Caenorhabditis elegans: one gene and its partner. The protein of the gene in region 2 interacts with the protein of the main gene of each other region in a pairwise test. Each region holds a gene or a part of one and is shown on either strand. Other genes may lie near its edges.

Region 1 (4,968 bases), 9.3 Mb from region 2:
GCGCAATTATATAATAAGGACCCCCTACCTTTTTTTAAAAATTAATTACACACTTTTGAACCAGAAAATTTATGTGACTTATATTTTGCTGATACTCACAGAAATACCACGGGAGCAAAACCAGAAGGAATACGTTTTTCAAGTTTTATAGAATACTTATTCAGGATTCAGGTTTTCTAGGCCCATAAAAATGTTAATTGGTATGTAAAAAACTATGTTGTATCGATTTTTTTGCTTTTAACCGATTCTCTTGCGCAACCAGAAAAATTATTCGAAAAAACCTCACATCTACATCTGTTTGCATGATCCTTTCATAGATATCGGAAGTAGACCCGGAGAAAGGTAATCGTCCAGCTAGCAAGAGAAAAAGGACGACACCGGAAGACCAGATATCCGACGAGCATGACACTCGATCTTTTCGCACTATCTCTGGAGCCATGAATTGCGGTACACCTACTCGACCTTCAAATTCGAAATTATATGAATGCACATTTGAAAAACGAGTCATACCACAAGCCATTGAACCACCAATTTCAGACAAATCTTTTGCAACTCCAAATCCACACAGTTTCAGTGGAGCTGAAGTATCTTTTCTGAAAGTTCACATTGAACTGTTGTTTTTCTATATTAATTAACTTACGACGCTAATACTAAATTGTGAGGCCGTACATCTCTATGAACAATTTTCCTAGTGTGACAGTAATCTAGAGCATCTAGGAGCTGCCGTGTATAGTGACTGAAAAATTTATGCTAATTATTTTTACACACACACGGCGTGTAAATTGGTACCTCTGGCCTAGAAAAAAGCTTGAAAAACAAATGTACGCAATTATGAAAATGCGCGTGGTGTTTGCGGACTTGACTACCGTAGTCCACATAAATTTTAGCAATTAATACTTCCCGGTTTCGTTTTATATGAAAATATCCTTGAATTCAAGCAAAAAATGCATTATCTTTTTGGAAAAGAATAAAAGAAACACTAAAATTACATTAAATTCAAATACAAAAAAAAGTGAACTACGCAGAAAACGAAACAAGGCAGTTTGAAGAACTGCATTAATGAACAGCAATTTTAAGTGTAAACTTGTGATGGTGGGTATACATTTTATGTACTTAAATTGTTCAAAAACCTTCATTTAGTCAATTGGTGAAGTTTCAAAACCTTTGTGAATCTAGTTTTTGAAAAAATTTCAAATTGGTGCCAATTTCACTGATTTTTTGTGAATTTCCGAGCTAAAATTGAAAAATTCAATGTGAACTTGTGACGGTGGGTATGGTTTTTATGCACATAATTTGTTTGAAATGCTCTACCGAGTAAACTGGTGAAGTTTCAAAAACTTTGTGGGCATAGTTTTTGAAAAAAGTTCAAAAATGTGCCATTTTTGTCGAATTTTAGTGGTTTTCGGAGCTAAAATAGAAAAATTCAATAGGAACTTGTGACGGTGGGTATGAATTTTTTGCACACAATTTGATTAAAGTAGTCTACTGAGTAATCTGGTGAAATTTCAGAAAATTTGTGGATCTAGTTTTTGAAAAAAGTTCAAAAATGTGCCATTTTTGTCGAATTTTAGTGGTTTTCGGAGCTAAAATAGAAAAATTCAATAGGAACTTGTGACGGTGGGTATGAATTTTTTGCACACAATTTGATTAAAGTAGTCTACTGAGTAATCTGGTGAAATTTCAGAAAATTTGTGGATCTAGTTTTTGAAAAAAGTTCAAAAATGTGCCATTTTTGTCGAATTTTCCTAATAATTGCCTAATAAATCGAATTTCCACTTTTATTTAGGAAAATAATCGTTGTTATATGTGATTTATCCATTTTAAAAACAATTTTGTATATATTTTTGCAGTTTTATCCATTATAATGTCTCATTCATCGAATTTCAATGATATTAAAAATTTAAATTCAAATTTCGCGCGCTTTGCAGCGGCCATGGCCTAGGATTCTCACTTTTCACTTTTCGCTAGGCCAGATGTCCCAATTTACACGCCGTGACACACAGTCTATATTGTAAAAATACAAACCTTACTACATATTCAGAAAATACGAATCCATTACTTGCTCTTTGAACTATTTCAAAACAAATATCATTTCCCTCCATGTTCTCAAAAATGATATGTCGATAATGAACGCTGTTGATAGTTTTTTCCAGTCGGCATATGTAAGGGTGCTGTAGATTTTGGCATATTCTAATTTCCTCGTCGATTTCTGAAAAAGAGATGGTTTGGAATGAAATAATTATATTTAGATCGGATTCGGTAAAATGATCAAAGTTCGAAATGACACATGATGGCTGATAGATTGATTGATGAATTGGGATTGGAGCTGCTGAGCTCATGAGATGAGAACTTTGAGGACATTTTGTGCGCTTCTGATTGGAAAACTGGTGGCGAGAATAATAATATCCGCTGCGGGGACTTTTTTTTTCTCAATTTTTAAAAGTGCACTCAGGTTGTTTTTTGAGAAATTTTTTATTCTTCAAAATCCACAATAAAGGTCAAAACATAACTTTAAAAAAAAAGTGTATTAACCACCTGAATTTGTTCAATTCGAAAAAAAACATCAAAAACTAATAATTCAGTCTTTTGTGAGACAGTGTGTTGAAACGATGACTTCCTGTTTTTAAAATGTTGAAACTTTTCTTTAACGGTCTCAATGGTATTTGGATGAAAACCAATGAAATTGGATATTTTTATTCTAATTAACTTTTTTTTAACTGCATTTGAGCCTCCTTTCGAAAGATATTAGTTCATCACTAGATCGATTAACATTACAAAAACCTATCAATTTTTGTAAAGACAAAAAACCAAAATTAAAAAAAGACTTTATCAAAATGGGAGAAAACTATTTTTGATACTTGTATAGTAGAGCAACTACAGCTACTACAAAAGTACACTGCTTCAACTTTTGAATTGAACAAATCATTTTAGTAGGTGCGTAGAATTTTTTTGGAATACGACTACTACATGTAGTCGTACCCCATGTAACAACTGTATAACAATAATTGTACCTTCAAATCCTAACCCGGTGTGCTGTCTGAACAAATTCAAATTGATTGATCTCAGTAAAAATTTTCGATTTGATGGTCCATGAAGTATTCGGTATACATTTGAAAATGGACCTCTGGAAATTCTTAGTTATTTCAAGAATTAACTGAATTTTCAAAAATCTTACTGTTCTATCACATCCCGGATCGACAGTTGTTCATCGAGGAGAAGGTTCGACTCGTCCGGGTCAAGCTCCCTCATTCTGTTTTAGCTGAAAAATGCTGATAAACGTGAATAAACAAATGATAAAGTTGAAGAAAAAAAAGAGATAACCAGAAAAAAACTCATAGGGACAGTGAATGATTATTAAATTGAAAAAGCATATCAGGCTCGCATGAATATTGAAATAGAGAGACTGGAGAGAAAATGGCAGTTTTTTGGGTCGGCGGCGGGGGGGGGGGGGGGGGCTCTACGCGTTTTCTTTCGGCCAATTTGATTTGATCGTTAGGAGGAGATATAATGTCAATAAATGATTGCAAGAGAGATTCATGTTTTATCAACCCCGCAACATTCTTTCGAGAACTAAAAAATTGAGGATTTGAGGTGGTACTTGTCTGATGGAAAATCTCATGTTGCGGTCTTATAAAAAGAGGTAAGCATTACGTCATTAATTTTAATGAACTTGAGTGCGTGGGGGACGGAAATCGTTAAACTTAGGATTTTTTCTTGTTTATAACATAATATTTTCTGCAAAATGCAAAATCAAACCATCCAATCTTAAATTATTGAAGCAGAACAACTATGTGAAAGAAAGTTTGATTGCGGCATGGCAGAGGAAATCAAGACAAATATGGACACTTTTCATCTTTTCCACCTCTAGTTTCCTATTGAAACGCGGCTGTATTTGTCATTTAGCAAACATTCCTGAATTTGCCGGAATAGTATCGTGTTTATTCAAAGTTGGCGGGTTAGCCAGATGTATTTGTAACAAAAACAGTAAACAGATTTGAAATCTTTTCAAAACACTAAACTTTAAGTTTGAGAGATGCTGAAAAAAAATTATTTGATATGAAAATCGTAATGTAATGTAATAGAAGCAATTACGTGCATGGGTTTTACTACGATCAATTACATAGAGAAACCTACATTTTGATTTTCCTACGTTCTCAAATGACTTGGGATCTAATTCTAATGCTCAAAACAATAACTCCTTTAAGGCTAACAAAGCCATTTTTTAAAGTTTTTTTTTTCAAACAATTTCGGTTTGCATCTTTTTCTGCATACTCTTTTTATTTCCGTTTCATACGTCTACTTAAAACTTTTTGAAAAATTCATTTCCATTTGGTGCAATAACTTCAACCAAAAAGTGTAACTATTCAAAAAATAATCGAGATTTATTTCAAGGAAATAACATTGAGCACAATAATTTCATAAAACTACCATTTTGTGCAGAGCTATACCAAAAACATGCTGAAAATATGTTTACTGTTAAGGTTACTACTAGTCTCAAATTTTTGACATATATATATATACTTTTATAATTTTTTTTTAGTTTGTCAGTTTATTTTAATCTGTATACACTAAACTCTTACACAATTTAAGTATTTCGCATTTTGTCACTACATATATTCCAGTTCACATTGAAGTTATTTGGAAGTTATTGCTTCTGAAATGCCCAATATATGTATACTCTGATTATACCATGGTTATTTTTTGTTTTTAATGGAACTTTTAAATTACTTATAAACTTTTATGTAATGGTTTTTACGTTTTTGTTTCAAAAACAATTTTAAATTGAAAAAAAAACTGAGTAGACAAAATTGAAACACCAACTATACATCCCAGTCTTAAACAACTATCAAAAACCGCGAAATATTAGCTTTGTGAAAAATTGGGATGCAAAAATGTTCAATTATTAGTCTCTCCATCGAATATTCAACAAATAAGGTGTTAGCAAAATAATGGGAAATAAGAAGAAAA
Region 2 (3,800 bases):
TTTGTGATATCTATTCTCGTTTTTTCCTTCATCTTTCAACTGTCTACGACAAAGAATAACGTGACCATAGGAATTTTCTGAGATTGTATAATTGCGAATGAAATATCAAATATGGAAAGGTAGATGAAAAGTAGAAGTACCCCAAAATATTATTAAATTTTTAAAATTAAATCTGGAATTTTTAGGTCTACAAATAATTATTTCTCACGAGTTTACCATTACAAAAAGTTATCCTATGAAAATATATTGTGATACATCTACTACATAAGTGACCAAAAATTGTTTCCAATAAGTTTTCTATTCAGGCTTAGAAAAGCACTAATCCTAAGCTTAATAGTTAATATTTTTTGGGACTACACAAGTATCCCAAATGACTCTGGGAAAAATGTTAGCAAAGTGACAATGTGCCGACATTTTGAGTGCACATTGCACTCTACACTGGACACTTCTCATCGCTTCTCAATTTAATGTAAACATAGAGGCTAGACGGAAACTTAATCGGGTTTGTATGACGGACAATCACAACGAAGAATATAAATGAGTGTAAACCTCGTGAAAGGTTCGAATTCAACGTTTCAAATTTGATATAGCCATTGAAAAATGCTTTCTATCCAACAACACAGTTTTAGTTACTCCAGCTAAAAGATTTATTCTTATAAAGAAAATGAGAATCAAAGTTACAATAATGTGGAATTTATTATGTTACAGATTCATTTCAGACTTAGAGAATTTGAAGCGGCTTAGGCCTTGGTAGCAATGTAGGAGATAAGGTCGACGACTCTGTTGGAGTATCCGAACTCGTTATCGTACCATGAGACGAGCTTGACAAAGTGTGGGTTGAGTGAGATGGATGCTCCGGCATCGAAGATGGAAGAGTTGGTATCGGAGACAAAGTCAGTGGAGACAACTTGATCCTCGGTGTAAGCGAGAATTCCCTTCATTGGTCCGTCAGCGGCAGCCTTGATAACCTTCTTAATGTCATCGAGGGAAGCTGGCTTCTCAAGACGAGCAGTGAGATCAACAACAGAGACATCTGGGGTTGGGACACGGAAAGCCATTCCGGTGAGCTTTCCATTGAGCTCTGGGATAACCTTGCCGACAGCCTTAGCGGCTCCAGTAGAGGCTGGGATGATGTTTTGTCCAGCTCCACGTCCGTCTCTCCAGAGCTTTCCTGATGGTCCGTCAACAGTCTTTTGGGTGGCGGTGACGGCGTGGACAGTGGTCATAAGTCCCTCAATAATTCCGAAGTTGTCATTGATGACCTTGGCAAGTGGAGCAAGGCAGTTAGTGGTGCAGGAAGCATTGGAGATGATGTGGTCGTTGGCATGATCGTACTTCTCGTGGTTGACTCCGACGACGAACATTGGAGCATCAGCAGATGGAGCAGAGATGATGACCTGAAATTTAAATATATTTATCTTGAAAAATTAAATCACTAATTTACCTTCTTGGCTCCTCCCTTCAAGTGAGCATTGGCCTTCTCGATGGTGGTGAAGACTCCGGTGGACTCAACGACATAGTCGGCTCCAGAGGCTCCCCATTGGATCTCAGCTGGGTCTCTTGAGTTGTAGACCTGAAATTGAATAGAATATTAGGTGAAATCTAATTGGAAATAATTCTACCTTGATCTTGTGCTGGGACTTTCCTTCCTTGGCGACAAGAAGGTAGTCTCCCTCGTGGGCAACGGTTCCCTTGAAGCGTCCGTGAGTGGAATCGTACTGGAACAAGTAGACCATGTAGTCGATGGAGATGAATGGATCGTTGACGGCAACAACATTGACACTGTCCTTCTCGACAGCGGCGCGGAGGACAAGACGTCCGATTCTTCCGAATCCGTTGATTCCGACACTTGGCTTGGTCATGATGCGTTGAAGCAGTTTCCCTGAATTAAAATTAGAAGTTGAAAATACAATAGAAAGAAAATTGGAAGGTATATAAACTCGCAAAAACGAGGAAATGGCAGATTCAATAAGATGAATAAATATACAACCTTTATTGAGAAGAGACCATTTATATACTTGTAAGCTTCTAGGAAAATTTTAGATACTAAAGAGAAGCATAGATTTTAAGACAAGCAGTTAACTAGGTGAAAGTAGGATGAGACAGCTTAGGCCTTGGTGGCGATGTACGAGATGAGATCAACAACTCTGTTGGAGTATCCGAACTCGTTATCGTACCACGAGACGAGCTTGACGAAGTGTGGGTTGAGTGAGATGGATGCTCCGGCATCGAAGATGGAAGAGTTGGTATCGGAGACAAAGTCGGTGGAGACAACTTGATCCTCAGTGTAAGCGAGAATTCCCTTCATTGGTCCGTCAGCGGCAGCCTTGATAACTTTCTTGATGTCATCGAGGGAAGCTGGCTTCTCAAGACGAGCAGTGAGATCAACAACAGACACATCTGGGGTTGGGACACGGAAAGCCATTCCGGTGAGCTTTCCATTGAGCTCTGGGATAACCTTTCCAACAGCCTTAGCGGCTCCAGTAGAGGCTGGGATGATGTTCTGTCCAGCTCCACGTCCGTCTCTCCAGAGCTTTCCTGATGGTCCGTCAACAGTCTTTTGGGTGGCGGTGACGGCGTGGACAGTGGTCATAAGTCCCTCAATAATTCCGAAGTTGTCATTGATGACCTTGGCAAGTGGAGCAAGGCAGTTAGTGGTGCAGGAAGCATTGGAGATGATGTGGTCGTTGGCATGATCGTACTTCTCGTGGTTGACTCCGACGACGAACATTGGAGCATCAGCAGATGGAGCAGAGATGATGACCTAAAAATTTAAATATATTTATGCACAAAAGTTGATTACAAGTTACCTTCTTGGCTCCTCCCTTCAAGTGAGCGTTGGCCTTCTCGATGGTGGTGAAGACTCCGGTGGACTCAACGACATAGTCGGCTCCAGAGGCTCCCCATTGGATTTCAGCTGGGTCTCTTGAGTTGTAGACCTGAAATTTAAGAGAATGTTTAACAAAATATGTTTGGAAAATATTCTACCTTGATCTTGTGCTGCGACTTCCCTTCCTTGGCGACAAGAAGGTAGTCTCCCTCGTGAGCAACGGTTCCCTTGAAGCGTCCGTGGGTGGAGTCGTACTGGAACAAGTAGACCATGTAGTCGATGGAGATGAATGGATCGTTGACGGCAACAACGTTGACACTGTCCTTCTCGACAGCGGCGCGGAGGACAAGACGTCCGATTCTTCCGAATCCGTTGATTCCGACACTTGGCTTTGGCATGGCTGAAAATTGATACTACTACAATCAGTTCAACTAACATACAAACGACAAATAAAAATAGAATGATCGAAATGAAAATCGAATCAAATTGAAGAGAGAAGAATATGAAGTGAAGCCATAAAAACCATGTTTACTATTTGACGAAACATGTGCAGTAAGCGAAAAAAAAATGATGCAATAGGCAAGATGAAGAAATGCGGTGTGAGAGAGAAAATAGAGAGGAGAGAATAAGTATGCATAAAAAGAAAGGGAAAATTGAAAATGATGATGCAAAAAGAACAGAGAGCCGTTTGAAAAGCCCTCTATTTTTTATGTTCCGTGTCCTTTCTCGATTTCCTTCAGTCGTTGCTGATGTTGTTCGAGAACCTGAAATGAAAGTATTGAAGAACGTTGAAAGGTAGTGGAAAACAAAAAAAAAGAGATTGTTTGTGAAAACCAATCTATCTCTTCATTATGCTCGCTAGTCGCCCGTCTCTCTAACATATCAAGGTCAACTGTGTAAAATAGAGAGATTCGAAAGGAGTCCCCGGTCTATTTTGAATCAGTTCTAGAACACGCCACTTTCGCAGATA

The links.
Region 1: the proteins of gpd-3 (region 2) and lin-2 interact in a two-hybrid assay, tested with the Caenorhabditis elegans proteins (3 studies listed by BioGRID).

The regions. Positions count from the first base shown.
Region 1 is NC_003284.9:12,410,777-12,415,744, forward strand, and holds the start of lin-2 (Protein lin-2), read right to left. Parts: upstream 3,266-4,968; 5' UTR 3,250-3,265; coding exon 3,176-3,249; intron 3,125-3,175; coding exon 3,012-3,124; intron 2,210-3,011; coding exon 2,026-2,209; intron 737-2,025; coding exon 641-736; intron 594-640; coding exon 511-593; intron 463-510; coding exon 287-462; intron 1-286. UniProt on the Caenorhabditis elegans protein: May play a structural role in the induction of the vulva. May be required for the localization of signal transduction molecules (such as let-23 receptor) to either the basal membrane domain or the cell junctions.
Region 2 is NC_003284.9:3,111,460-3,115,259, forward strand, and holds gpd-3 (Glyceraldehyde-3-phosphate dehydrogenase 3), read right to left. Parts: upstream 1,883-3,800; 5' UTR 1,863-1,882; coding exon 1,623-1,862; intron 1,574-1,622; coding exon 1,445-1,573; intron 1,398-1,444; coding exon 741-1,397; 3' UTR 632-740; downstream 1-631. Other genes in the region: gpd-2 (Glyceraldehyde-3-phosphate dehydrogenase 2), read right to left, coding at 2,108-2,764, 2,811-2,939, 2,989-3,228; mai-1 (ATPase inhibitor mai-1, mitochondrial), read right to left, coding at 3,538-3,594.